Linked DNA regions of Oreochromis niloticus. The protein of the gene in region 1 binds, or shares a complex with, the protein of each later gene. Links are inferred from orthologs where the notes say so. Each region holds a gene or a part of one and is shown in the gene's direction. Other genes may lie near its edges.

Region 1 (7,051 bases):
AGGTGTGAGTGAAGTCATGTAAGGCTGTTCAAACAATAAAGCAAAGTTTAAAATCAATTCTATATTGAATAAGTCTAATGTAGCGGGAGTAATGTGGTCTTTGCTCTTCTCGTCTCTGGCAGCTAAAGTTTGAACAAGGCAGAAGGAATTAAAATAGTCCAAATATGATGAGGAAAAAAGCCTGTATCAGTCTGCCTGAGATTATCAAAAAAAAAAGTGAAAAAAGTTTATTCGTAAAAGGACAAATCCACTCAATGAAAGCTAACTGTCTCCCATGAGATAGCTGGTATTAGGATAAAAAATGTTGCAAGAAGTTCAGCTTTCAGGTTACTATTAAGGACATAAATATCTGCTAGTGACCATAGGAAGATGTGACACTGTCACACGATTAAAACTTGTAAGTTTTGCCACAGACAACAGACATTTCAGGATCAGAATACAATTAAATTAGAGAAAAATATCTTCAAATCACCACAAAGTCTATTTCATGGCACTTTGTAGCTATTGAGAAATGTCAGTTACAAATTTTGGATTGTGTAAGAGAATCACGAAAGGTTAGCCTTCAGCAAAATTAAACTAGACCCATCAGGCAGGATTAAGGACACACAGTGCCATTGACAGTACAATGGCAGTAAGAAACACACTTAAGTAGCTCTATATAGCATTATTATAACATTGACCTTTAGATGTCTTGACCTTGAAGGGGAGGGTCATAGGTCAAATGTGACATATTTGAAATCTGTAGACCTTGTAGACTTGTAGATCTGTAGACCAACCTTCAAGTTGACCTTGAAGACCTTTGTGGATGTAAGCCAATCACTAACATTATTATCTACACTGCTTAACTCTGTGTATTTGAAACTAATACCAAAACAAAACTGAAAAAAGTCTTAAATGTGTGATTAACAGGATCAAGATTCCGCCTTCGATGGTTTACACCAACCACTGAAGTAGATCTGTGCGGTCATGCCACTCTGGCCTCTGCAGCAGTGCTATTCCAACACATCAGTAAGATGCAACATTTACACATAAAAAGGTTTTTGAAAAAAAAAAGTGACATCATGGTGCAGTAGAAAAGGCCGCTGGAGCTATTTTTAAAGATGCCTGTAATGCACAATGCAGCTGACTGCAAGAAGGAGCAAAGAGGTGCTAGCATGTAACCGTGTAATGGATGTTTTCCTTCAGAAAATGTAAATCCCACCCTGGTGTTTGAGACCAAGAGTGGAGATCTGCACGTCACCAAGAAGGAGGAAGGGTACATCATGGACTTTCCTCTGAATCCCCCCACCCGAGTGGTAAAATAAACTTTTCCTGTTTAGTTACATGAACAATTTAATCAAATCCTGTAATGTAAAATAAACTAGTTCTTGTGTTTTATTAACAGTGTATGTAAAATGGCTTTCTTTCTGAACTCTTTTTATTTCAGGAACCCAACGACTTCAAAGACACCATCAAGGTCAGAAATCACATTTTTGTGAACAGTTTGTGAAAGTGTAACTACATTCCTGTGTGTGTATTCAGCTAAGTCTCTGCCTTTACATGTGTGACACAGGCGGCAGTCGGAAACCTCCCGGTTCAGGAAGTTTTATTTTGCTACAACACCAAGAAGCTGCTGATTCGACTGGCTGACAGCTGTGACATGTTGGTTAAAAAAAACTTTGCTTGTTGCCAAATTCAAATGAATCTCAATAGTGGTCCTACTGTTCATGGGATCTTAAACATTTGTTCAGCAACAACAATCAGTTATATTTCTCAGGTGCCCAGCTAGTGGGGCTTATTCATATGTTTAAAGCCCAAACAAATAATCAAGCAACTGCCCTTCTACACCCACTCATCACATTTTAGTAAATGTATATATGCTTTTTGTGTATTATCTCCAGCTCCGCGCTTACCAATCTGAAAGTTGACACTGTGGCTCTTGAGAATACTGAGAGAAGTGGAAGATTCTGCGCCGTCATCGTCACTATGAAAGGTAATCGGAGCTGTGCCTTTCGTAGAGTTGTAGACTTGCTGGATCGGACCACATGTAGTAATTCCATTACAATGAAGACGTAAACAGTAAAGAATAAACCAAAGGAAACAAAACATGAAGTGTTTAAGTGAGGTGTTGTCCCACCATGTACCATCAGAAAAGCTTCGATGCACCTCTGTTAGAGGGATGAACAGCAATCTGCCAAAAACATTCCCTCATTTGGTGTTTTAATGATGATGGTGATGAAGAGCACAGTCTGTGATTTCACTCATCATATAGGCCTTCACTTGGGTTGAGCTCTGGGGAAATGTTTGATCACAGGACAAATGGTGCGCTGATTTCTCCTTTGCCATCACCATCCTGTGGACTCGTTTGTTGCCCATTTTAATTTGTGTAACAACACTGACTGAATGTTTCTGCCAACAAACATTAAATATCAAACACTGCTAACATGTGGAAACAGGATCACCAGACTGCCAGCCAGGATATGACTTCTATTCGAGAGACTTTTCTCCATGGGTTGGAGTCCCTGAGGATCCTGTCACTGGTAAGATGATTCCTCTTTACTAGTATGTAATCTATAGACATTATTCCTCAAATAACATAATTCTGACCATGTTTGTGTGTCTAAAAACATTTACATATAAGCAGCTGGACTAAAGTGATTAAAGAGGATGCATTTACAGGTGTCTTATTAATGAGAGAAAGTGTTAAGCTATTCCTGCTGTGCATTCTTTGCTCTGGCAGGATCTAACCACACAGTCCTAGGTAGCTACTGGTCTGAAAAACTAGGAAAGAAGAAAATGCTGGGTACGTATTTTAACCTTCTCCGCCTTTTACTAATGTGTCATTTATCTGATAACAGATGTTGTGTTCCACTTTTATCCATTATTAATCTGCTTATTGTGTCTGTGCAGCTTACCAGTGCTCCAGTCGTGGTGGCGAGCTGGAACTTGAACTGAGAGATGATGGAAGAATCAACATAGCTGGACAGGCCATCACTATTCTGCAGGGAACAATCAAACTGTAGGCTGAGACATCCAAGAAGACAGTGTCTGATGTTCTATCACAACCGTTGTGTCCCTGCAGATAGACACTTTGTGGCTCTTGATTAAAAATGAGATGGCTCAAATAAAAAGAAAAAACACACTCAAGTCCTGACTGTTCTATTCTGAAATGATTCAGCTAACAAACATACTGTAGGCTTTTTTACAATTTCTATCATTTATTCATAACATTACAGCAAAAAAAGTTACAACCAAAAGATTTTAAAATGGTAAAAACAGAAACACAAGAACACAGCAGGTAAAATCCAAAGAGTCACGGTTAGCCTTGTGGTCGGTAGAATTTTTTGCTTTTTGCTTAATAATGAATGGGGTTCAATAAAATTAAGTACAGCTGATATGGACTAAACTGGTATAAATGATACTGTGCAGATTCGTTTTGATCCTAAATAACGTGTACATATTCCTGAAATTAAAAGTCATCATGATGACATTGTCTAAGGAGCGTGGAAAGAAAAGCGTCTGGACTTCTTTAAGTTGCTTGACGACGTTTCACCTTTTCACCTCTCATCCGAGAAGCTTCTTCAGTTCTAGGATCAAATGGTGGCAAGTCCCAGATTTGACCATTTCCCACCATTTGACCCTAGAACTGAAGAAGCTTCTTTGATGAGAGGTGAAACGTCTTCAAGCAACTTAAAGAAGTCCAGACGCTTTTCTTTCCAAGCTCCTTAGACTACGATGACGTGGATGACTGAGAACCTTCACAGACATCATGATGACATGTTTTTTTGACATGTTTTTTTGTATAATCCTTTCCTGCACATACAGGTTTTTACTGACAAAACAATGGAATAAACAATGGAATAATCTATATTAGTGAGGCCCACTAATATAGTCAAGTTCTTTTAAAGTTGACACTTCTGGTTACATACTATAGCTCTATCATAGGAAACAGGAAATGACACTACACCTAGAGCTGGAGAATGTTAACTTTTCTCACATATAGACGATGATGGATGTTGCCATATAGCCTTTTAGTTTGTTTTTATGCTGAAGACTGGGCGCGTTTCACACTGCCAGCAAACTTCCACAGGTATGTTCTCGCGAGATTTCGGGTTATAAACGTTGATTTGTTCTAGTGTTTTTATTGATACCTCCCACCCGCAGGGGCGCTCTTTCACATCACGAGACCTCCGTGCTGGTACTGGCAGAGCACGCGAAAGGAAACCCGCCATTGAAGACGTCTCACAACGTGAGAGTTTCGTTGTAGTGCACTCTTAAGAAAAGGTGCAATTTTTTTCAGCATATACCTACAGCTGGTATTTAGTTGTAGGAATGGCATACAGAGGACAAGGACAGAAGGTCCAGAAGGTTATGGTGCAGCCCATTGTATCCTTTTGTATTGCAGGACGACACTGCGCGGTTGAATTGGTTGCTACAATAGCTTAGCAGCTAGGCTAACATTTAGTCATTCGTAAACATTTGTAGTCACTCATGTGAGGAGAGGAGTTTTACAAGGCATGTAAGCTTTTGTGAAGACCAGTTTCACCCAGAGAAGTCACGCGGGTATGAAATATGTTTGCAGAAAAATGTGGTTTATTGAAATCCAGTCAGAAAACTAGTGTATAGACTTAGCCGCTTTAAGCCCGGCTCTGCTGTTCCGTGTTACAGCTGAACGCAAAAGAGGCTAATTTCTGCCTTCAAACTACTCAATATGATACCATAAGGAGGGTTTTAGGCCCACCAATCGATAGTTATTAACACCAAAATATAATATGATGTGGGAGAGTAAGGAAGTTACGGAATACTTAACTAACGAAAGTGTCTTGACAATTATTAGTTATAAAACCGGAATTACCTTCAGCTTCTCAAATGTTTTAAAAATATAATTAGTTAATTGTTAGTGGAACTTAATAGTGTTTTCTTTTATTTGCTATGGATCCACGTTTAAATGGTCTCTTATGGGAATGCCAGCATGTTATATTAGTGCTAATATTGTGTAAGAATTAAAATGACCAAAAATAAATGTAACTATATTTTAATTCTTTGTTAAACAGATTTTTATTTACAAAAGGATCAGGGGAAAATAATAAAGTTTGCCCTCAAGATATGAAGACCAAAAGCCAATTTTAAGCCAGGAAGAACCCCTGACCCAAACTCTGATTCTGAATCACATTTCCGATAACTTGGACTAAATGCGAATATAACCATTAACAATATATGTGCACATTTTAACTCTAAACATGTTGAACTCGAGTCTGTGTGTATGTCCTTGACTGTGGTTGTCAGAATCTCATTTTCAGGTACCTGCAAAATGTAAGTAGCTTGTAACTTTTTTGTGCTTACTTCTGATTAGTTTTGTTTTCTGGTAATTTTGAAGATAAAACTGTATGCAGTTTATTCTCCCTCTCATTCTCAGCGCTCACGGATCCAAGTTTGGTTGTATGAACAGGTGAACATGCGGATAGAAGGCTGCATTATTGTAAGTAACATATAACCTTTCTCCATGTTCTTGGTCAGTTTATCAAGCTTGATGTTCATGGGCAGTGTGCCATATTTTCCAAAAAACACGGTAATAACGACGGCCCACTAGCATGCGCTACCAAAAATAGTGCTTTGTTGTGTATCTGACGGACGAAAGCTAAACCAGTTCCACACCACTGAAGTTGCAGCATTTTTACAAACCAATTCTGGTTCATCCGTTTCATTCAACAATCCGCTTTCGCCCTTCTTATTCTCCGTAGCCGCCGTGCTTTTTCCGCCATGTGCGTATGAAAACAAAGGCACTGCACATGCGCGTTTTACCCAGATTCTATCATGATATTTCATTTTCTTATCGTTGTCCAACATTATACCGGTATTACCGTGAACAGTATGATATGGCCAAGCCCTACCTGTTATCAGTGTGGATGTCCAGGTACTTGTTCTCCTCCTCCACATTAGCATTCTGTCCCGGGATAGACACAGGTGGTATAGCCACCCGTTTTCTTCTGCAGTCTGTCATCTCTGTGGTCCTATTCACAATCAGAAACAGTGGATCCCTCTCTGACAACTCCACCAAATCATCCACTAGTGCTCTGTACTCCTGCTGCCCATCACTGATGCATCCAACCACTGCAGAATTATTAGTTTTGTAGGTGGCATGACTGAAAGTCTGAGGTGTGCAAGGTGAACAGGAGTGGAGATGGCTCAGTTCCCTGTGGAGCTCCTGTATGTCATCATTTTGACACCGAGCACTGCCCAGTTTCACATACTGTTTATCATATAATCAGTGATCCATGAGATGGCCAACTGTTTACTGACATTCCCTTTAGCCTTCTCTAAGTAGCAGTGGCTGAAATGTGTTATACGCACCAAAGAAATCAAAGAAGGTGATCTTCACCATGTGCGTGTTGCTATTGAGATGGAAATAAGCTCTCACTAGGAACAAACCTTTGTCACTTGCTGTTCCCCTGTATGGCCACATTATGTCCTAGCATGGCTTAAAATGATTCAGTCTAACTTGAAATGGCCTGATCTGTGAGTAGCGTTTCCACTCAGGCTGAACCTTCTGTGAGATCAGGCATGCACAAGTTCTAGTTAGTAAGTTCTAGTTGTCTTGTGTCTCATTGCCTTAGGGTTTCGATGAGTACATGAATCTGGTTCTAGACGATGCTGAGGAAGTCCACATGAAGACTAAGAACAGAAAACCATTGGGTAAGAGCGCACCACTTTTTGTAAAGCTGTTTTATTATTTTACAATTTTAGGAAGGATGTCTGTGAAAGGTAAGAATTAAAAAAAAATGTGTGTCATCAAGACATTGTTGCTTCTCAGGGATTTTTGAAAACACTTGTCCTGCATATCCCAGAAAGTGCAAACCCAATTCTGAAAATGCTGGGATGCTATGTAAAGTGTAATTAAAAACAATTACAGTGATTTGAAACAAAGAAGCAAAATACAAACACAAAACACATGTAAGAATTTCAAGACAATCGTCAGTCTGCTTTGGTGCATTTTTTTGTTTCGTGACGTACTAAATGTTTTCAAATGGTGAAAGTGCAGGCCAATTCTGTAGCTGCTACGACATTAGCAGCT
Region 2 (7,547 bases), on another chromosome or scaffold:
GTATCCATTACTCTAAAATACAAAATTATATATATGTATAAAACACACACATATATAAGACACATGAAGCGCAAATGAATACAAAATTAGAATACAGTGAGGAAAAACAATCAAACATTTAAGACCACCTGAAGCAATTTGACACCAGAAAGGGAAATCTGCTACTTACCTGAGAACATGTGCTGATTAAAAGCAAAAACAATGAAATTAGAAACAAAAACAAAGCCTGTTGATGCTTTTGTATTTGCATGTGTTTATTTATTTATTATTTTTTGAATCTGCTGTTACAGCATATGTAAAAAAAAAAAGACTTGGCATCTTAGACATACATTACACATGTAATGCATAGGCAGCAGAACAGTCTGGCGATCACTGACAGGTTAACCACAGATACAGCCCACAGTGTCAATGTTTTAATTAAGCCCTATTTCAGCTGACTTATTAACCATCATTGGTGGATTTTGTGCTGGTTACAGGCCAGAAGCACTTTTCTCAGCCTGTGGATTATACCCGATTTGCCCGTGTAAGCTCACTTCAAACATTTTCTCATTATATTTCCACTAAGATCCAAATCAGCACGAGAAAACGTCTGCATTAAATGCCGGTCATGAGTATAAGTTTTGCTTTATCCACAAACTTCATGACTTGGACATTTTTTTTCTGTTTTTATTAGATCATTGGTTTTTATTATACTACGAGATAAAACTAATGAGCATTTGCATTCAGTGCGTTCAAGAATGGAAGCGAATAATCAGCGTGCCGCGTTTCAAAAAGCAAAAAGCCACTCTTCGTTACAACTATAGGATAACAAAGGACAACTACATGTTAGCACGCAGAGGTCATTTCTGAAGGCCATGGAGAAAAACTGTGGTTTTTTTCTTTCCAAAAATTTTCTACAAAGCAAGCAACGACAAAGGAAACAAGGGACAAGGGGGAAAAAAATCTTCATTGAATATTCATTAACCGGTGCCTAGGTGTATACATGGCTCTTAACCACTCTTGTTTATGACTTAAGGACTTGTAGTACTGACCTTAGTTTAACACAGCAGCAGATACCAAATTAACCTCTAGCCTCCACAGGGCTAGCCATGCCCTGCTAACAAGCAACCTGTCTAGACACACAAGAAGTACTTTATGATTCCACCTCTCACAATCCCCCTCTCTCTCTCCCTCTCTCTCTCTTTTTCTCTCAACCTCTCTGTCTCTGCTAACACGTACTGGCACATCCTCGTGCCCTCTATCCTCTTCTATCTTTCACCTCACCATTTCATCCCTATTTCCCCCCCTACACCATTTTTCATGTACCTCCCAAGCTGTGCAGTGTTTGGGTCACGCACCCCAACAACCAGAGTTTTTATCAGATGGTAGACTTTCTCTTATCCTTCACAGCACAGCTTACCAATAGCATAATAATAATAATAATGGTAATAATAAAAAAATAATAATACTATTACTATTATTGCATTATACTTTTTTAAAGCTATAATGCACTTTATTTATTTCTATTTTAAAACAAGAGAAATTCCACAGTGATTTAAAAATGTGTAAACCCAAAGTGAGAAACACTCATAAACGTACTTTAACATATAAGTAAACTTCTGTAGCTTTTAAAGATTTCCACTGAAAATTTAGATTGAAATTTATTACATTAGGTTAAGCTTTTTGATTAAATTAAATGAAACTTTGTCCATATGATTAATGTAGAATTTTACATTTGTGCTATTTTGATATATATTTCATTCTGATAAATAATGAATAATTTATTTTAAAATGTTTGTAAAAACAGTCCGAAACTTCAAAATATTCACTTTCACTGTCATCAATCATTTTTTGTATTTATTTGTTTTTTATTATAAAGCTTGATTTGATATTAACATCCAGCGATGAATAAGTAGAAGGACCAATCAGGCCAATCTAATCAGCTCTCAAAGGAGATGGCAGTTATGTTTTCGACTGTACTCACACATCAGGTGTTTCCTTCCTTGTTAGCAGATCTGACTTCATCTCGGTGTGCATCTGGTCACCATTCAGCTGTCGAACAGCAACTATTTTGCAATAACAGAGACAGTGACCAGAATCTGTGAGGGTCTGTAGAAGTTTTACTGTTAAATTTACGCATAATGCAGTTAAATAGTATCAAAGTCAAACGTGTGAGATTCAGAGTAGTTTCATGGACATTTAGGGAGAAGCATATTTACCACTGTGTTGCATCACCTGTACATTTTACAACACAACCTTAAATTAAATTGCAGTAATTTAGACCACAGAGTTCTTCCTTGTTCTTGCTTGATATATAATTTCCGTTGTTTGTGTTCTCTGGAATTGTTTTGGGGGTTTTTTATTTTGTTTTTTGCAATGATCCATTTTTTTTTATTTTGTTTTTTAGTGTGTAACAAAAACAAACAGGAAGGACTGTTTAGCACTGAGACTCTTTTACTTTACTCTTTATGATGAATATGCAAAATATGTACAGACATCTTCTCACTGAAATAAGCAATGATTCTTCTGAGAAACACATCATTTGGACTGCATAGCATATGTTGCTTGAAAATGTGTATTTATCCCTGTGTGCCCTACAGATGTGCAGGTTAAACATGCCGCGTGTACTAATGCACATGACCATCACAGATCTCAGCTTTTGAACTATGTGCTGATAAAAATCTACTTTCTTTGCATGGTAGTGTTTTAACTTTCATTTGCTGAGGCAGTGACAAATAACATCCATCCTTCCCTCCATCCATTTATCCAATTCAGGGTCGTAGAGGGGGTGTAGCCTATCTCAGCTACCACAGGGTGAGTGGCAGGGTACACTCTGGACAGGTCAGTAGCCTGTCACAGACAACCAGACATGCAGTTAGTGGGGTTAGGTTAACTGGTGATTCAAAATTGCCCATAGGTGTGAATGTGAGCACGAATGGTTGACAAATAATATTTTACTGAAAATGGACCTTGACCCCATGCAGTGATTTCTACTAAAGCATCATGTCCATTTTTAATGTAGTGTTAGCTGAGGGCCCATAGATCATGGCCCGTCAGCAAAAATTTTGGTGAAATCTTTATCGATTCTCTGATTGATTAATTGCTATTATGTACCACAAATGACCACAGATTTTTTGCAGACTCAACATTTCCAGTATGCTTATTTTTTTGCCCATGTACCTGATAGTCTTATAATATTTTCAGTTTAGACTCTGATATGTTGCCTTTGTATTTTTTTCTTAATTACAGGCTTCAAATGATTTGCAAATTACTGCATTTTTTTCTTGTTTACATTTTACAGCATCCAAACTTTTGTGAAATCATAGCTTATAATATATATTGATGTCACCCATTAAGTTTAACTCAATTCTGCCTCAGGATCATATGCATTTTTAAAACAAGGCAAGCACCTAAATGATTTTTTTATATTTTAATTTAACAAGACAAAGAGGTATGAAGTACCAACATCATTATCTCTGTTGTTATTATTAATATTCATCCAGAAATTGCTCTGATTTCTTCTTATTTGGGTAGTGATTTTCTGTGCTTTAACCAGAATCCAGATTCAAATGTTTTGTTTTCATCATGCTCTTTCAGCCTATGGTGGTAATTATGTGAAATGATATATAGAAAACGCACAGTTCCAAATTAATGACTAACAGGAGGAAAAGAAAGGTCCAAAAAGGAAGCTGATATATATATATGTATATATATATTATTTTGCTGGACTAAAATTCATATTTCCTTTTTCTTCATAATCTTCTCTTTGCACATCAACTGTCATGGCTGGGAACATAAAAGTACAGGTGATGCTGAACACAAGGCTACAGTGTTGCAAGAGCCTTAAGCACATAAAAAACGGCATGCTCTGAGAAAAGTATTTAATCCCTTACAGATTCCTTTTTTTCCCTCTTTTTTTTTTTGCCACTTTGGCACACTTACATGTTTCAGATCAACAAAGAAATTGTAATTTTAGACAAAGGTAACCTGAGTAAATACGAAATGCGGTTTTTAAATGATGATTTGATTGATTAAGGGAAAAGACTATCGAAAGCTGGCCCTGCGTGAAAAAGTCATTTTCCCAAAACCTAATAACTGCCTGTGGCACCTTTGGCTGTCACTGTGGTTCGTTGGAGTCACAAAGCCTTAAAAATAGCTTTGTAACGTTTCTTATCAATTCTTGAGATTTTTTTTTTTTTAGATTAAGGAATGAGGAATGGTGTGTTGCTTTTTGAAATCTTTCACCTTTTACACTTTGTCAGACAGCTTCTACTTAAGTGATTTCTTGATTCAGCAGGTCTGGCAGGAACCAGCCCTGGCTGTGACTAGGGAAAAGTTACCAGTTAATTCATGACTTAACAAGGGGAGGGATTATTTTTTTCACATAGGACCAGATAGCTTTAGAAGCTTTTTTCCTATAACAAATGAAATCATAATTTAAAAACTGCATTTTGTATTTACTCAAGTTATCTTTGATGACCTGAAACATGTAAATGTGACAAATATGCAAAAAAAAGGGCAAAAAATAGAGAAGGCTCAGGCAAACATTTAATCACAAAACTATAGCTACTTTGTTGCCAGTTTGATACCTGATTATATGATTAGCGATCAATCAGTTAAGTTTTTTGTCCTCAGCCTCTTTCCGTACAGAACACGCTTGTGATTGGTCAATCTCACGTCCATGCTAAATACAATTGTCTGGAAAACCTCGGTCTGGTGAGTGAAATGCTAACAAACATATTGCTGCTGCAGATAAAATTAAAGGGTTTCTCCTTGTGTTGTTGGGTGCAATAAAATGTAAGCAGGATTTTCACAAAGACAGCGACCCTCGCTGCGCAAACAGATTCACGGGAAAATAGTCGGTTAGCAGGTTTGTTATACTCGTTAGCTAGCTAGCCGCTAACGATACTAGCCTGTTTGCGTTAGGAAATCGTTACTATTACAGACATGAACACGAGTTAGCTTTTGTCACGCTAATGTAGCTCCATGAAATAAATTGCTACTATAGTATCTAATGCTCATCTTTCATCCTTTCAGATCACAGTCAAAATGAGCCTGAGGAAGCAGACCCCGAGTGACTTTCTGAAGCAGATCATTGGCAGACCTGTTGTGGTCAAACTGAACTCTGGTGTCGATTATAGAGGTACGTAACAGCCTAGCCACTTGTTTCCCCCCCAATACTGATCGGTAAGTAATGACTTTAAAGGAAAACACGGTGTGTTTGTGTACCTGCAGGTGTTCTGGCCTGTTTAGATGGTTACATGAACATCGCCATAGAGCAGACAGAGGAGTATGTCAACGGGCAACTCAAGAACAAATATGGAGATGCCTTCCTAAGAGGAAACAATGGTAAGCTTGTCCCTTTTATGTAGACTTTGGTATTAAAATTTGAGGCAGTATAGGTCTTCTGTAAGAAGACTGAAGTGCATAATTAATATGATGATAAAATAGAGTAGAAAAATAAATGCAGGTTGTTTATGTTTCTGAGGCCATCAGTTTTTTCTCTTAATGTCTGAAACTGCAACTCATTCATGACAGTTAAAAGGAGCAGAAAATATGACAAACACAGGTGAGGAGCGCAGGTTAAAGTGTGATCTAAAAAGGTTGATCAGCCAACTTACCCAGAAAAGTAACCTTCTCTGTAGGATGTTCCTCTCAAAACAGGAAGCTGTGGTCTGTCTGATAATGACTCACATTCAGTGCTTGCTTATTAATTCCGTTTAAATGAGGGCATACATTATGAATGACACGACTCGGTTCAGTATGGTGCCATAACCTTTTAGCTATGTTCTGGTCTAACACAACTCCTTTTTTTCCCTCATAAAATAAATTTGTACAGCTCCAGTAAGCTCTGCGTAAAAGTCAGTCGTGAACAGTAACCAGAATCCTGAAACTGTAAAACTGAACTCAGAAATGTGTTTTACTATATTTTTTTTTTAATTTTTTATTTGCACTAGTACTTTTTTTCTCTTTAAACTGTGGAAAAGGTCTCTCGCCTTCTTGAAAGTATTGTGAGGGTTAGCCAAATGGTGATAATTAGTTAAAGATAAAAAAAAAAAAAAAAAAAATCCCACTCAAATTAAATTGGTCTTCAAATTAAACTTTTGCCTGCATTGATTTTTCGAAGTACATCATTATATGATAATAATCAGTAGATATCCTGTTAATGACAGTAGCTGTTAGCTGATGCCCGAGCTGATTTATTAAGATATTTTTAACTCATTAATTATTGTTAAAACAACACATTGTTAACACAGCTCTTGGGAACTGCCCTTTTTCACTCATTGCATTTTCTTGTGTCTTGCTATATTTTTATGAAACTTTGTATTAATATTCTCCATGTTGATCAGCATAGACAGACTGGAGCGAACTCAAACTGTACAATGGTTTTGTACAGAGACATTCAGATAAAGTGGTGTGAAAAAGTGTTTGCCTCTTTTTGATTTCCTATTTTTTTGTATGTTTGTCACACTTAAATGTTTCACATTAAACTAATTTAAATACTAGACAAAGATAACACAAGTAAACACAAAGTGCAGTTTCTAAATGAAGGTGTTTATTATTAAGAGAGAAAAAAATCCAAACCTACATGGTCCTGTGTGAAAAAGTGATTGCCCCCCTAAACCTAATGGGCCACCCTTAGCAGAAACAACTGCAATCAAGTGTTTGTGATAACAGGCACTGAGTCTTTTCCAGCACTGTGGAGGAATTTTGGCCCACTCATCTTTGCAGAATTGTTTAAGTTCAGCCACCTTGGAGGGTTTTCAAGCATGAACCGCCTGTTTTAAGGTCATGCCACAGCATCTCAGTCGGATTCAGGTCAGGACTTTGACTAGGCCACTCCAGAGACTTCATTTTGTTTTTCTTAAGCCATTCAGAGGTGGACTTGCTGGTGTGTTTTGAATCATTGTCCCAACTCTGCTTCAGCTTGAGGTCATGAACAGGTGGCTGGACGGCAGAATTCATGGTTCCATTTACTACAGCAAGCCTCCAGGTCCTGAGGTAGCCTCAGACCATCGCACTAACACCTTTTCACTGTTGGTATATGACATTCCTTTTCTAAAATGCTTTGTTCGCTTCATGCAAGATGTAATGGGACACACACCTTCCAAAAAGTTCAACTTTTGTCTTGTCAGTCCAGAGAGTATTATCCCTAAAGTTTTGGGGATCATCAAAATGTTTTCTGGCAAAACTGAGGCTGTTCCATGTTTTCGCCATTTGTGGATAATACCTCTCATTGTAGTTCACTGGAGTCATACAGCTTAAGAAATGGCTTTAAACCCTTTTCAAGACCAAGAGGTTGCAATTACTTTGTTTCTCGTGTGTTCCTGAATTTCTTTGGATTCTGGCATGTGCCTGGCTTTTGAGGATATTTTGGTCTACTCCACTTTACATGATTTCTTGATTGAGAACAGGCGCAATACTAGTCAGGCCTGAGTGTGGCTAGAGAAATTCAACTCGACTCAAACTTTGCAACGATGTGATACACCACAGTTAATTTATGTTATAACAGGGTGGGGCAATCACTTTTTCACAAAGGGCCATGTAGGTTTGGATTGGTTTCCCCT
Region 3 (7,496 bases), on another chromosome or scaffold:
AGGTGGACTTTACCTTTGAAAAAACAGTGATGGCAGACATCCTGACCAGCTGCAGGGATCTGCTGCTGAAACTGGTCAACACCCACCTCACCACTAAATCTCATGGTCGCATCAACCATGTCTTCAACCATTACTCCGACCCACAGCTCCTGACCCAACTGTACAACCCTGATGGGCCCTTCAGACCCAACCTCACCAAGATCTGTAAAGGACTGAATAAACTAGTGGAAGATGGGACAATATGACATCAGAACTAAATTTCAGACAGACACTGGGAGATCAACAGACAGACTCAACTAGGACTCTGAACTGCTTGTTTTTCTGTTACTGAGGACTGGCAACATAAAACAAGTCATTTGAGAACCAACCTGCTTTCCCATAGTTCTCAAAGAACATGTGGGATACAAATAAAGCTTTGTGGAGTCATTCAAGTTTTTGATATTTTGGGGCCATAAATATATATTATGTAAGTGATGCTAATTTTCTATTCAGACAGTGTCCAAAGAAAACAAACTTGAAATTAAACAGATATATTGTGCATTGATTATTTTACTAGCATACAAAATATCATCTAATATTTGTGACTTTGAAATGTATTATTCAGAACTACTGATATTATGCATTATAATCACTGATATGAATCAGCTGGACAGATGCATAAGCAAGTTAGGCCTGGGAACAGTACCACTATAGTACACCACTGCCATCTGGTGGTTAAGATGATGCTTCTGCAGCAACAAACTGTATTTACTGAGGTGTCCAGACAACAATCAAGCCAAAAATAAAGATAATGACCCCAGAGTGCACAATTACTGCGACCATGACTGTATTTTAAAAACATGTTTAGATCAACAAAAAGACAGACTCTTTACTCATGACTGCTTGAACAGCCAATCTATAATTCATGATTTTTGGATCACAGTAGGGCTTAAAAATGTTTTAATTCATTGGTCTATTGGCTATTCATTGGTCTTACACGGCAGTTAAAATGGATAAAAATCAACTCCAATTGGACATTAAATCTCACATAACAGCTAAATCTGCATGTTATACTAAAAGATATTTGTTAGCAGTAATGTGAATAAATGTCATTTAACATGGGATAAAAATATTTATTTTAAAACAAAAAATACAAAATTGAGAAGACATTAGAAATATAACCTTAACAACACAATTATTGCAATGAAATATTATAAAGCCTACAAAATGTTTTCTTGCATTTTCAGCAGTAATAGAAAAACCATCATTCTAATCAGTTTATTGTCATCATCATTATTACAGTAAACGTAACTTGTGTTTAAGATTCCATTTCCTAAGGTTACAAGTCTGAAAATATGAGGCAATTACACACAAACCCCTTTTGTGTTGACCATATGATCATCTGACTAAATATGATTGATTTTTCATTTTTCAAATTTCAAGTTTCCATTTCCTGGATGTGAATAGTCATATGAAGCTTTTCACAACCTACAGTATGTCTCACCAAATAAATAACAAGTCTACAATTGTGCAATATAATTTTTTTTAAATGGAAGTGTAAAAACACTTTTATGCTTTAGGCAGCAGCGGGATCACCGGGGATTCCTTTTCATTCCTTTATCCGTAACGCTCCGTTATCCTGGAGATCAAACAGCGCATCACGGCTCCCTGCGAAAGTTCCATTAATGTTCTGAGTGACAGACATGTCACAGTTCAAAGATTTCATCTTCCTTGTCTCTCAGTTTCTTGGTCAGTTTGGTGACAGTGAGCGGTACTGTCCCATGTACTGCCATCCTGGAAGATGAAATGACACTCTGTGACCTCGTAAGCGGCCGGCAATCTGATGTCCTGTTGTTGCAAGTTGCTTCTAGTGTAGCAACCCTGGTAAATAAAAAAAATATATAACAGAGCAAGTCATTCACAGTGTACTGATCTTAGGCTAAATTGATTGATATTCTTAAAAAATAAAAAAAAATAAAAATAATCGCTGTTGCACTGGTACTATCACCAGGTCATTACAAATTAAATTCAAAGTAGCTATTAAGCATTGGGAATCTTTTGAACAGCCACATTGTGAGTGGTTGATGAAATACTAAGAAGGCCAGAAAGGTGGATGACTATACTTGACATGACAATCTAGGTTAAACTGACCACCAGATACTATCCATGTATATCTATGCTTAACATCAAAATGCGTGTATTTAACCATGACCTCAACATTGTTTACACATCAGTGAAGGTACAATATTCTCAGCGACATGACTAAAAACATATCCATAAGCAGGACCAACTGATCTAACTATTAGTGACTTAAATACGAAGAGGGTAAGTCTCTGTAATGCTACAAATGACCCTGACTGGACAACAACTGTGCAAAGAAAAGAGCAACCAGCGACAGGCACAGTTATACCTTTTCTCTGCTTCCTGGCATCCTTTGACTGCAGCCTGCTTGGACTGGCTTATCAAGTCATCCAACCTTTTCAAAAAATCCCCAGGAGTGAGATCTTTTCTGTCTTCTTGATTTTTCTCAGAGGAACTCCCTGTGTGTCCATTGTGAAGCGAAGCAGAGTTAGCACTGCCTTTGTTGCCGTCCTCCTCAGCCACATCCAGCCCTTTACTGCAGTCGTCCAGGTCTGCTATCACAGGGATTGTCAAAGACTTCTTCAGGAATATTGAGTCATTGGTGTACAGCCTGTTTGCTCTTTTGATTTGCTCCATCTGAAAGAGAAAATGTCCTTGTGAACCTTATGTTAATTAGTATTAGACTTGGCTAAATCAAGTCTCACTTTTACCGAGATCAGTAGGCAGACAGCAAACCAAATAAATACATGCCATTTTAAGGCAAGCACTTTTTCATAGTATGCCCTAACAGCTGAATAAACAATTTAATTATGTAGTTGAACGTTTTTGTTGAACCACTGAGATAACCCTACCTCAATAAATATGAAAATAAAACAATAAGAAATGTGATTATTCACCCACATTTACATTTCAGTATTGGTAAATCAAGTATTCAGTTAGAAGACATCATATCGCAACAAGTAAATTTCAACATAAGCTTAACATGACATCGTGGTTTGGGAACAGCTGTGTGAAGGACCAAAAAGCTCTCCAGAGATTGATCCGTACAGCAGAACGCTGCTGCAGGATTGCTCTCCCCCCGCTTCAGGACACCTACACCAGGAGATGCCGGACTAGAGCAACGCAGATACTGAAGGACCCGTCCCATCCTGGCAACAAACTGTTCCAACTTCTACAATCTACAAGAGGAGCTTCTATCCTCAAGCCATCGGCCCTAAACCAACACCCCCCCCCACCCACCCACACACACACACACACACACACACACACACACACACACACACACACACGCCCTCTCACATCATCTATAATTGACTGAGACTTTCCTCCAGACACTCATTTCCTTTAACTTTAAATATGTTTATATTGTCCATTCTGTAAAATAGTCAGATGTCTATTCATATTAATGTACAGAATTGACCTGCTTGCTGCTACTACTGCACATTCACCCAATGTATATTTATAATGTTATTCCTCTACCCCCCCTCCCTTTTTGCACATGTCGAGGAGCGTGTCAGGATACATTTCACTCTGTGTTATACTTGTATAACTATGCATGTGACAAATAAAGAACCTTGAACCTGAACTGTTAAAGGCGCAAGAAATAAATACTTTAACTAATTCAGTCTCAGAGTCAAACCAACACAGTCATACTCACAGACACTCCATACTTCAGCGCCAGGCCTTGCAGTGTCTCTCCCGGCTGAATTATATGTTCAATACGTCTCTGGTGCACCGGGGACAGCGGAGATCGGATCAAACTGCCGTAAGATCTTGTGCGGCTCCCTCGGAGTAGGCCGTCTCCTCCAGCTGGTAGTGGAGCTCGCTCCTCTGACATTGTCGTAAAACACTTATATTGTTCTTTTTTTGTGTGGTAAACAACCATGTGGGCCTAAAATGCGCTTACCAGCGAACTTCACTGCTGTTAACATCTTCACAATAATGGCTTCCGCTTTAGCCCATAATTATCAAACTAGCAGCTTAGTTAGCCTGCTAGCTAAGGCTATCAACTTAATTAACGTCGTCGCTCGTTATTTGTTCCAAGCGTTCAATCTTTTCTCCAAAATGACAGCCGTTTAAACTATATAGAAAGTTTCTTGGATTACAAATATAACGTACCTTATCTGTCAAATACACAACTAAAAGTCGCTGAAAAACTTGTTTTCAAAACTCTTGCAGTCAGCTGTCTACAGCCATATGTTGCCATGGCTGCCGTGTTCACTGACTAGTCCTATGATTCGCCACAACGCGTTGCATTAAAGACTGTAGGGGAAAAATTTGCGTTTTATATTAAGTTGATATAGTTTGTTTCACAAATTGAGCAAATACAAACTATAGCCACAAATCGAGCTTTCAAATGACTATGCGGACTTTATATTATAAAAACCAGCAGATATCGTTGTAGTTCCGATAGCCGAAACAATTATCCACCTCAAAGATGAGCACAGGTCTATATTTCCTATCTTCCGTTTGTCCATGAATGCAGCATTGCTATTAGCTTATATATTATAGCCAAGAAGCTACGCTGCTACTCAGATTAGTTTTTATATTATTGATCATAACAATTATGTCCTTTAAAAGAGAAGGTGACGATAAAAGCCAGCTGAATCTCCTTAAGGTACGGATCAATTTGCAGCATTTTATGTTGGCTTAATAACAGAGACTTCAGCTAAGAGCACACATGTGGCTAGTGTTAGCATCTTTAAGCTAACAACATACTGTAGTTATTACTTTGGGAAATAAAATTGTAGTAAAACTTACATACTATCTAACGTTATTCGCTTCGTTTTACAGAAACGTCGTGTGGCAGACCTTTTGTCTAATTTTATTCCAGAAGATGAGGCTGCTCTTATGAAAAATGGAAGGTGGAGTGAACTTCAAAACATTGATATGTTTGGGAAAGACAAACTTGTGTAGCTAACGGCATGTTTAGTTTAATTTCTCCCCGTATCTTATAGGTACACTTGCCTTGTGTGTTCCTACCGTCCTGTGTTTGATACAGTCGACATGTTGACAGTCCACAGAAAAGGAAAGAGGCATCTAGACGGTGAGCACCTTTAACCTGCAAAGTTATTTAAAGCAACTAAGTTAGTACGTGGGCTCGTACCCCGGGGACCTAGCGGACCTGAAGTTTCGGCCCCAGTCTTATTAAGAAGCGCTGTATCAAGGGTTAGCCATCTGCACACCATTTCTATCCCTTGTCTTTCGCCCTATTTATTGAGACAGTACCCCATATTTTAAATGACTCTGCATTTCTAAAGTCAATGCTGCAGGACAGGCACTTTTATGAGGTCGAGCTATCATCTGAGGTGCTGTGAAGTGCAGGTTAATATGCCATCCTTGCTACATATGCTACACAAAATCAGAGGAGTACAGATGCATAAACTATGCATATTAATAGAATCTGCTCAAAAATAAAATACAACACTGAAGACTGAAAAGCTACTTGTGAGAGGGAGAAGCTACATAACTAACTGAGGATCAAAGAAAGAGATGCGCTGGTCAGTAGTTATGTCCTCATCAGGCAAAACAACAGCCAACACAAGACCTGTATTGTAATTTGATGCAGCAGTTGAAAACCCAACTGAGTAAATGAATAAACTCAATAAAACTCAAAAGCAGCAGTCAAGGGGAAATTTTGCATTGCATTTGCAGATAATCAAGTCAAGTTAACAAAGAGTTGAAATATTGGAAAGTTCAATAGTTTTTGGATTGCGTCATTGGTTAGCTGTTTTTGTGTGTCTTTTCTAATGCTGCGTCACAAAGAGTAGTTTTGGTTTTCAAATTATCTGGATTTGATATCCCGTCATTATTTGGAAGAATTAAAAACCCAAACGATGATACATTGTAGCACTTTTTCACACTAAAACTGCATATTTACAAGTACATAGGGATAAGTAAAAATTTCATGCTTTTGAATTTGTTAGTTTTTCCATCACTTTGAATGGCTGTCAAACAAATTGTACTCTTTAAGTGTCAGAGTGTTGTACAACTATCTAATTTTTCTTCACCAGGTTTTTTTTTTTTTTTTTTTTTTAACATCCAACTTTCCTCATTCGGAAAAGCAAAACTCTGTCTGTTGTCTCTTACACAAACAATTAAAGACAAGCATTTGTACCCTGGAAGTTTTCTTTATTTTCTGATGATTCACTTGAAAAAATTCCGGAAAGTGTATTTTGAATAAGGGTATCACCGTATAACATGTATGTTAGATAAGTTACAGCATATAAAAAGTGTTGTTTTTACCTACATTTCGATACCAGTTTAATTTCTACAGTATGAAGGTAAAGTTTTGCATGTCTTCATTGTATATACCAAACTTGCTGTACTTCAAAGGGAAACGAGTATGACTTTTTTTTCAGGTTTGGTTCAGTTTACATTGACTTTTTAGTAAACCCAGTTGTTTGTTGTGTGTTCTACTCAGGGCTAAAAGCATTTTATGGCAAGAAAGCACGGCTGAAGAATGAAATAACAAAACGGCAACATGAAAACTACGTCGAGGCTGAAGAAAAAAGGCAGGTTGGTAACTATTAATCATGCTTTCTCTGTCAAGTTCACAAGTCTGTCATAGCCAACAGAAAAAATCTGTGTGTTTAACAAAGCAACAACAGATGAGAACCAGCCGGGTCATTCTGCCAGCAGACGGTCAATGAATCATCACAGGAAAAACATCACGAGCTCAACAGATGTAATCTTTCTTTACTGCATGACATTGTTATTCCATGTTGTTGTCTCCTGTTAAATCACTTATGTGGTGCCCGTGTGACTACCATATGACTCTAACAAATTACACCTTACTAAACAATTCAGTGTAGTTGTGTAATGGTGGAAAATATGAGCCACTCTTGTTGTGATTTCAGGAGCCCTCCAGTTCAGCCCCATTACTAGCACAAACACGGAAGCTCACCCATCATGCTTTGCTGAAAACTGTACCATATAACAGCTGTCATAGAAAAACCAGGTGAGTGATTACTTGGTATGAGAGTTGTCTGTATTTGAAGCCATACAATGAAAAACACAATTTAAATTATTTGTCATTCTTTTTAAGCACAAAATCTGAAAAAGTGACAGCAAGCACCAGCTCAGACCCCAGTGACAACATGACATCTGCATGCTGGGAATCTGGCATTTCAGTGAACACGTCACAAAGCAACTCTACTGTCTGTTCAACAGGTAAGGTCTGCTAGAGGAAATGTTTTATTGTCAGCTTTTATTTTGAGCAAACCTTGGTCATGATTTTGCCTGAACTCTTTTTGTAGCCAATAAAGAGCCACATCCATCAAAAGATACGGCCGAATCTCAGGCTGCAGAGACACAGGAGGCTGAACCCATCACTGCCCAGAGGAAGAGAGAGCTGGAGCACTACCTCAAACTGAAAAGGTGCCTAAATGTTGTGGGACTTTCACTTTCTAATGTTGTACATTTTCACTACTTTT
Region 4 (7,420 bases), on another chromosome or scaffold:
ATATTGTATTATCTGTACTGAAACAAAAACTCTAAACGACATAAAATAAAAGCGAATGAGAAAATACAAAACTAATAATAACTGATGCTGATGTTAGCTTTCAGTGCAGCGCTGCACCACACAGCTGTTACCATAACTGCTGGCTTGTTGGACTCTACGTACATCAGTGTCTGCTGCTTCTTACACAGGGATTCAGTTAGTCTCCTCCTTGAGCTGCCTAATGATGTAACAAAATGTGACAGCCGCTAGCACATTCCCAGCTAAAATGGAAAACCTCAGTTCAGCTCTCTCCGCTGCAAATATGGAGCCAGAGTTAATCTTCTATAATTATGCCCCGGGATGCTGTGACATGTTGAACTTAGCAGGGATGTTAATCCCGCACTCAACAATGCAAGCCCGAGTCATGTTTCCCTGCACATTTTCAGCTGCTCTCGCTACTTTCCACTCTCCATCTCATGCACTCAACACCCTTTTTCACAGACTAATGAAAGTTGGGGCTCAGAGTTTGCTTTCGAGCTGTGTCACATACAGAAAAGGCAAAATTAGATTCCTTAATGATCTTTCAAGCCTTTCAAGACTTCAAAGTTTTGAAAGAGGAATCCGTGTTACTTTTGAGTTATTTTAAACTAAGTCTGCGTCGCCTCAGTGTGGTTGTTGACTGATAATCTAGATCTATTAAGATCTAGATTATCAGCTGATTTTCTCCCCTGTGCTTGGTACTGGGGGTTTTTTCTTGTGCATCTTATAAGTGAGTAAACATGTGTCCCAGTCACAGATGGATCATCATTCTCCTATGAATAGATTGGTTGATCATCAAAATTCATAAGAAGACCTACTCCTCCTACAGTATCGGTCAGAATTTAATCAAAATTACACATTGATCACCTAATGGGCCTTCATCCAAACTGTGCTTCGGCTCAAGGTCACACTGGTAATTTTACAGGTACTTTTTCTCAGCATTACCTTCAAGCAGGTAATGCTCGCCCTGATGTACTGAATGATATTGATAATATCAGATTCTCAATGTTGATGCACAAAACGACCAAGAAAGAACTTCGTGGTAAATGGATTGGTACTTCTGGCACCTTCTACTCAATTCTGAGCACTCAAAGCGAGTCTCATTCAAACAGCCTGTTTATACCTTATACGTGCACACACTCACATCAATGCACTGGGGGCAACTCAGGGTTCAGTGTCTTGTCCAGGGATGCTTTGACACATGGCACAAGACGAGCCAGGGATTGGTCCTTGATTGGTAGACAACCAGCACCACCTCTTTAGAATAAACAAAGTGGTAGCTTGAAACATCGCTTTGTCACACATGCTTCATATCGCTGGTATCCTGTTAGATGATGATGATAATTATGATCTTATTCGTTGTGATGATGGAGGGAGTGGTCCTGTTGGAAGGGCCGGGCCTGCCTATTAACCATCATGCTGATATAACATGCTCAGTGCTATGACACACTGATCCTTTTATATATTTTCATTGCTTTTTATGGCAGAATTAGGTAGTTCTAGTCCTCCAAGTTTGACAGTTCTTTGACTTCTTAGTGGATTCTGATTTGTTTGTGCAATGCAGCCAACAAACGATTAGAAAACTTAATTGTTTCAGTTGTGATTGATTGTGAACCGGGTGAATGTTTTGGTTTAATTCCAATAAAAAGACTTTCCTTAAACTTCCCCTTACAGTCAAACACACGCTTATTGCCCGGGAACATCCTGTTCATTTGGGCTTCGGTATTTATGCCTGGTGCACTTGTTCTGGTTTTAACACCAGCACAGTCATGATGCTAATGTTGTTTTTTGTCTCTTTTAGGGCCAAAAAGCAAAGAATCGAAAAGGAAAGAGGATTTATCAGTCAAACCAAGGTCACCTGTCGGGGCAAATTCAGTGACTTCATCGCGCTTCACTGTCAGCCCGGCTGATGACCCACACCTGGTGTGATGTTGCACATCATCCTGGAAACACTTTAGAGCTCAACCCTCTCGGACTGGCCCGTGAATTAACCCAACAACCAGCCATTCGCCCAGAGGATATTTTTTTATTGAAGAGGCAACTGAAAGAAGAGACTTCGATTCTAAAAGCTGGAAACATTCCAGGTTTTACTAGTGACGGGATTTTGTACGACTGGGGGTTGCTGAGCTCCGGCCTGCCACTGTTTACAGAGTTTATTCATAGCCTTTGGCTGCAGAAATCTTTGGAAAAGGCAGCATATGCTAGGCGAAGAGGAGCCGGGAGCTTTGTAAAATCTGAAACAGATTCGACAGCTATGCAGTGGGAGTCTTGCTGTGTACCAGCTTACCTTCTCTTTTTCTGCTTTGTTCTGTTTTTCCCTGGGTGTGCAGGGAATGCACTTTCTTTAGTCATTCGTCTGTCTATGTAAACGCTTGGATCCCGGTCCTCTCTTTATTAAGGACATTTTTCATTGCAGTCAGTCAGTTGTTCTTGTAGGCAGCAGTTTGAAACAGAAATTGCTTGACTCCTGTATTTGACAATACTCCTCAGCATTTGTACAAACATCATAATACAAGTGTATACAGTATCATTTTAGAGCTGTTTACTTTTAGATGTATTCTTAGACTGCACGAAAAATGAAACAAGCAGTTTATTTTTACTTTTATTTCTGAAAAGCTTTAATTTCTATATTTATTTCTATGTTATTTTACTTAATTTATGTAAAGTCAGTTTCCATGCAATATCTTAATTATTTATTTAATCTATTAAGTTATGTATTTATTTGCTTTGGTGCAATTGCATATATGAACTTAGCTATAATTTGTTTGGGACAGAAATGCATCTAGGTCTATAACTTCTCCAAGATCTTCATAACAAATAAATCAAAATATTTTCCCAAACGTCTTAATTGCTAAACAAAAAAAAAAGTATTTTGTATAATTTTACTTGTTAATATATGCCAATATGTATGGAACAACGTCCTGTAATGTTTCATTATTTTCCGATGTCTATGAATTTTTAGCTGTCTCGTCATTCTTTTATCTTAATTAATGACAGTTAATGTAGCTTAGCATGAAAAATCGAAGCCTTTCATTAGTAAATAACTCCCATTTGTTTGTGTATCTGTTAATTTATTCCATTTTCTACTAATAACAGTCCATCATGCAGTCGAGATCCAACTAGTCAATTTGTTTAGTCTGTTTAAATGTTGGTTTAAACTTGTATTGTTTAAAGAATGGTTTTCAGGGGGCAATGTATAAACAAGGGGGAAATAAAAACTATGAAATGTGAACCTCTTATTTGAACTGCGTCATATAAATAAGCTCGATTGTTACTTTTACTTCATTCATGACCAAGAAAAGCTGCACTTATATCCAGATACATGTTTGTCAATGAGGGCTAAGTTGCAAACTATTGACATACTAGAAATTTTACTCAGAGACGTATGGGCTGTAAGAGCAAGTTATATATTATAAATCAATTAATGCTTCAGAAGGCACTGACATCACAGACACAGTTAGTGAAAATGAGATGGATTGCTCCAGCTGTCTGTGCTGGGAAAACCTGTCAGCCAGCAAAGCCATGACCCCAACTCCATAATCTAGGTAGATACAATATAAAAATGTCACCTCCCAGCACAGGTGAGGCTGGGAAACATGGAAGCGTTTTTTCTGCTACTGATTATCATTATTAATATTTTTATGTATATTTTTGATGTCCTTAAATCAACATTTTGGGTTAGGTATTTTGAAATTTTGACTTAGTAACTCTAAATTAAGGTTAGTGTTGTGAGACTAAGTCATTATGCTAACATTTTTTTCCTAGCTTCCACTAAATTATCCCTAGGGTGTAAAAGGGGAGGTGGAGGTGTGTGTGAGGATACTTTAATTAAAATTATACTTATGAAAAACATGAAAAAAAAAAACAACTTTAAGTGGTTCATTTTAAATTTGCAGTTACACCCAAAAGCATATTGTAATAAATAAATATAACTCACCATTAGTATTCACCAGTACCTATTCGCCTTATTACACATATACATTCAGATCAACTTAGAGCATCGTATTTTGCATTCAAACAGATCTTAATCCATATTTTCACTGTACTGTACACCGAGTTTATGTATGTACTGTATATATTTCACAGATAGATAGATAGATAGATAGATAGATAATCAAACCTGTGTCAAAAAGCAAAACAAAAAACACCCTCTGTGATTTTTTTTTTTTTTTTTTTGTTAAACTTTATTTAACAAACAATGAGTATACAACATACGAACAGATGAAGTATACAAAACAACAGAACATGAACACACAAAGGCAGGGGTAAAAAGTTACAAGAATACACGCAAAAATTCACAGATATATATTGTTTTGAGAGCCTTTTTGTTGGTAGAGTCTGATATTGATTGTGCCTCTGTGATTGTGAAGTGTACTGACACAGTTTCCCACAAAGCTTTGCGAATGTACGTATTTAATCTGCGACCAGCGGTACATCGGCGCCGCACAACCGGATTGCAAACAGTCAAGAAAACAGAGGGACGAATCGTTTTTTATTTCTATTCAAAGCGACTGAAACCTGCATTGGACGTCTTTATTTTTTCTTAAACCAGTAGGACTCTGAAACTCTGAGGTATGTCAAAGTTACTGAGAAATCGCTCAGTAACGTCGGACCAACGTTCGCTAATGCTAGCTAGCTAACAATGTTAACTCCAAACACAGCCAGCGATAACCCAAAGATGGAAGCAGACTTAATACTTCACAGTTTTTATGTGGCGGTGATAGTGTGTGAGGGACTGAACACGGCCTCGATAGTATCTCAGACGAGTCTGAGAAGAGCTTCTTTGTCAGAAGAATATGTCACAAAAATATGTCTACAGATGAATTTCTCTTTCAGGCTTGAAAACACAGCGAGGTCCATAAGTTTTTGTATTGACACACTTTTTGCATTTGATTTGTATTTGTATTGTTTGATAAATGAGTAAAACTAGTATTAAGTATCTAGTGCTCAAATAATACTATTAAGGAAGGGGATATTAGAGACGTGCTTTTTTTTTTTTTTTTTTTTTTTAAAATAAGAATTTAAGAATAAGAATATTGTTTTAGTTGCTGGTTGTGCGTCTGTAGAGATTGCTTTATAAGCCCTCAGAAAACAGTCAAAAAAGGCCAAGCAGTTAGAACCCAAGGGATTTCATCAGATATGTAGGCTTTCCCAACACAGAGTTAAAACAAAAAAAAAAGTTACTGTACTTTTATGTGATCTAATGCTGAGATTATTGGTGTATGTTCTATAATTGAAGATACTTGGGAAACATTTTTGGAAATCTCCAAAGCGAGCATAAATAATTTTGTGAAACAGAATGCATTTGTATCACACTTCTCTGGTCTTGTAAACCACTTAAAGCTCTTTACACTAAAAGCCACATAAATCTGTTTATGCACACATTTATACAGAGGCTTATTGTATACACTTAGTTTATCCCACATGCTAGTGACACATCAGGAGGAGCTTTTTTGGGTTTGTTTTCATCCCAAATTTCACTTCAGTTCAATGTAAGTAAGGACTAGATGAGCCAGTGATCGCACTGCTGACCTTTTAAATATGGGATCCTCAAGTTATGTAACCAGATCATTAATAAAAAAATAAATAAATTCAGAGTTACATCAACAGCAGCAAATAAAGAACATATACCCCACCAAACTCAGTGACAACCTCATGTAGGCAAACTGATCCTAGTCAGCTTTGCTTGTCCTCACAGTTTTCCCATCGATTGCAGATGTCTCTGGCAGATGAGCTCCTGGCTGATCTGGAGGAGGCCGGAGATGAGGGAGAGGATGGGCTGTACCCAGAAGAAGAGAGGGACAGCGATGGAGAGCCGAACCAGGGAAGTGCAGACGGAGGGCTGGAAGACATCCCAGAGGAGATGGAGGTGGACTACAGTAAAGCTGAGAGCGTCGCGTCTATTGCAAAGCTTCGCAATAGCAAACAGGTGAGTTGTATCATACAAGAGCTTTACACATGTTGAGATTAGCAGTAAAATGTCTGCTCTGTTCTTCCCAGAGTGACTCTTGTGTGTTTTGCAGTTTTCAGAGATAATGGACAAAATTTCTGAATATATTGGAAAGCAGCGTAAGAACTCAGAGGGTGAGTGTTGTTATTATTATTTAAGGCTCTTCTCACTATCAGTTTCCATTCATTTCTCTGTTTTACTCTGTAAACACATTTAATTTGAACTTAATGGTAACCCAGAGTAGTCATGGAGTTGTTATTATTATTTTTTTTGTTTGCTTTTAGTCTCAGGCCCAGTCGAGGCTGACCCAGAATACAGACTGATCGTCGCAGCTAATAACCTCACAGTGGAGATCGACAACGAGCTCAGTGAGTTGGCTTCTTCTCTCTGGTGATCCATAATGCTATGTTTTGAGATTTAGTTCTCTTCCTTATAACCTGAGATGTCCTCTGTGTTTCTGATTTGTTTCTAGATATCATCCACAAGTTTACCAGGGACAAATACTCCAAGAGGTTTCCAGAGCTGGAGTCTCTGGTGCCGGATTCTTTGGATTACATCCGTACTGTCAAGGTGAGCTGAACTATGTATTCATCTTTGACCCCCCCCCCCAAAAAAGAAGCTCAGAGTTGACTGTTTCTGTTTTTTAGTTAGAATTAGGATTTCTATTTTTAACAAAACTGACATGATTAAAGAGTTTAAAACTGCACCTGTTAAAAACATTGTTTCCTGTAGTTTGTTTGAACATGATGTTTTCTCCCCTAATTTTTCTTCTTTTTTTGTGGTTTGTATCTAGGAGCTGGGAAACAATCTGGAGAAATGCAAAAACAATGAAACGCTGCAGCAAATCCTTACCAATGCCACCATTATGGTTGTCAGTGTCACAGCCTCAACCACACAGGGGTAAGTTAAAGGTCCCGTCTCACCAGAAGAGTTTCATGTAGTTCACTGTGACAACTTCCTGCTAGAATCACCTTAAATCACTCACTGGAAATGAAAAACTATGGGGTTGCTAATGCTGGGGGGCTGGAGCCTATCCCAGCTTAATGGGGAGAGGCAGGGTACACCCAGCACAGGTCACAGGGCTAACACACAGATGGGCAACCATTCACATTCATGGTCATGTTCACACTCATATACCTACCTGTTGTCAATTTAAAACCACAACCATGAATGCATGCTTTTGGACTGTGGGAGGAAGCCTAAAGAGAACCCTTTATGTGCTGCATACAATTAAAATTATTATCATCATGTCTTATTTTTACAACTGGATAAAAGCCAAGTACTGCCAATTTTGGAATATTAATTGTAAAATCTGAATAAGTCTTAAACACAAACTAAACACAGACTTCTTCTTTGAGTCTCATAAACACCATAACTTTTATACCTCATTTTGAAGTGATTTATATTTGAAAAGTTGCAAAATTAAAACTTCCTTCAGTCTTAAAAAAAGTT

What was found.
Region 2: snrpe (region 1) and lsm6 share a complex: the UniProt entries of both Homo sapiens proteins name them as parts of the U4/U6-U5 tri-snRNP complex. The link is inferred for Oreochromis niloticus from reciprocal best matches to the Homo sapiens genes SNRPE and LSM6.
Region 3: snrpe (region 1) and scnm1 share a complex: the UniProt entries of both Homo sapiens proteins name them as parts of the minor spliceosome. The link is inferred for Oreochromis niloticus from reciprocal best matches to the Homo sapiens genes SNRPE and SCNM1.
Region 4: snrpe (region 1) and prpf31 share a complex: the UniProt entries of both Homo sapiens proteins name them as parts of the U4/U6-U5 tri-snRNP complex. The link is inferred for Oreochromis niloticus from reciprocal best matches to the Homo sapiens genes SNRPE and PRPF31.

The regions. Positions count from the first base shown.
Region 1 is NC_031970.2:34,218,235-34,225,285, reverse strand, and holds the start of snrpe (small nuclear ribonucleoprotein E), read left to right. Parts: upstream 1-4,040; 5' UTR 4,041-4,311; coding exon 4,312-4,365; intron 4,366-5,265; coding exon 5,266-5,292; intron 5,293-5,395; coding exon 5,396-5,458; intron 5,459-6,593; coding exon 6,594-6,672; intron 6,673-7,051. Other genes in the region: phenazine biosynthesis-like domain-containing protein 2, read left to right, coding at 1,263-1,295, 1,427-1,456, 1,553-1,641, 1,881-1,972, 2,436-2,519, 2,720-2,782, 2,890-3,002. UniProt on the Homo sapiens protein: Plays a role in pre-mRNA splicing as a core component of the spliceosomal U1, U2, U4 and U5 small nuclear ribonucleoproteins (snRNPs), the building blocks of the spliceosome.
Region 2 is NC_031971.2:16,285,789-16,293,335, reverse strand, and holds the start of lsm6 (U6 snRNA-associated Sm-like protein LSm6), read left to right. Parts: upstream 1-4,541; 5' UTR 4,542-4,695; intron 4,696-4,708; exon of another isoform or gene 4,709-4,849; intron 4,850-5,016; 5' UTR 5,017-5,028; coding exon 5,029-5,122; intron 5,123-5,214; coding exon 5,215-5,328; intron 5,329-7,547. UniProt on the Homo sapiens protein: Plays a role in pre-mRNA splicing as component of the U4/U6-U5 tri-snRNP complex that is involved in spliceosome assembly, and as component of the precatalytic spliceosome (spliceosome B complex).
Region 3 is NC_031976.2:31,213,608-31,221,103, reverse strand, and holds the start of scnm1 (sodium channel modifier 1), read left to right. Parts: upstream 1-4,493; 5' UTR 4,494-4,627; coding exon 4,628-4,678; intron 4,679-4,854; coding exon 4,855-4,925; intron 4,926-5,018; coding exon 5,019-5,107; intron 5,108-6,484; coding exon 6,485-6,579; intron 6,580-6,920; coding exon 6,921-7,021; intron 7,022-7,108; coding exon 7,109-7,233; intron 7,234-7,319; coding exon 7,320-7,440; intron 7,441-7,496. Other genes in the region: tnfaip8l2b (tumor necrosis factor, alpha-induced protein 8-like protein 2 B), read left to right, coding at 3-245; lysmd1 (lysM and putative peptidoglycan-binding domain-containing protein 1), read right to left, coding at 1,686-1,860, 2,390-2,697, 3,719-3,946. UniProt on the Homo sapiens protein: As a component of the minor spliceosome, involved in the splicing of U12-type introns in pre-mRNAs. Plays a role in the regulation of primary cilia length and Hedgehog signaling.
Region 4 is NC_031976.2:22,012,204-22,019,623, reverse strand, and holds the start of prpf31 (U4/U6 small nuclear ribonucleoprotein Prp31), read left to right. Parts: upstream 1-4,411; 5' UTR 4,412-4,590; intron 4,591-5,716; 5' UTR 5,717-5,734; coding exon 5,735-5,947; intron 5,948-6,041; coding exon 6,042-6,102; intron 6,103-6,252; coding exon 6,253-6,336; intron 6,337-6,440; coding exon 6,441-6,538; intron 6,539-6,761; coding exon 6,762-6,868; intron 6,869-7,420. Other genes in the region: uncharacterized protein lmtk3, read left to right, coding at 1,820-1,947. UniProt on the Homo sapiens protein: Involved in pre-mRNA splicing as component of the spliceosome. Required for the assembly of the U4/U5/U6 tri-snRNP complex, one of the building blocks of the spliceosome.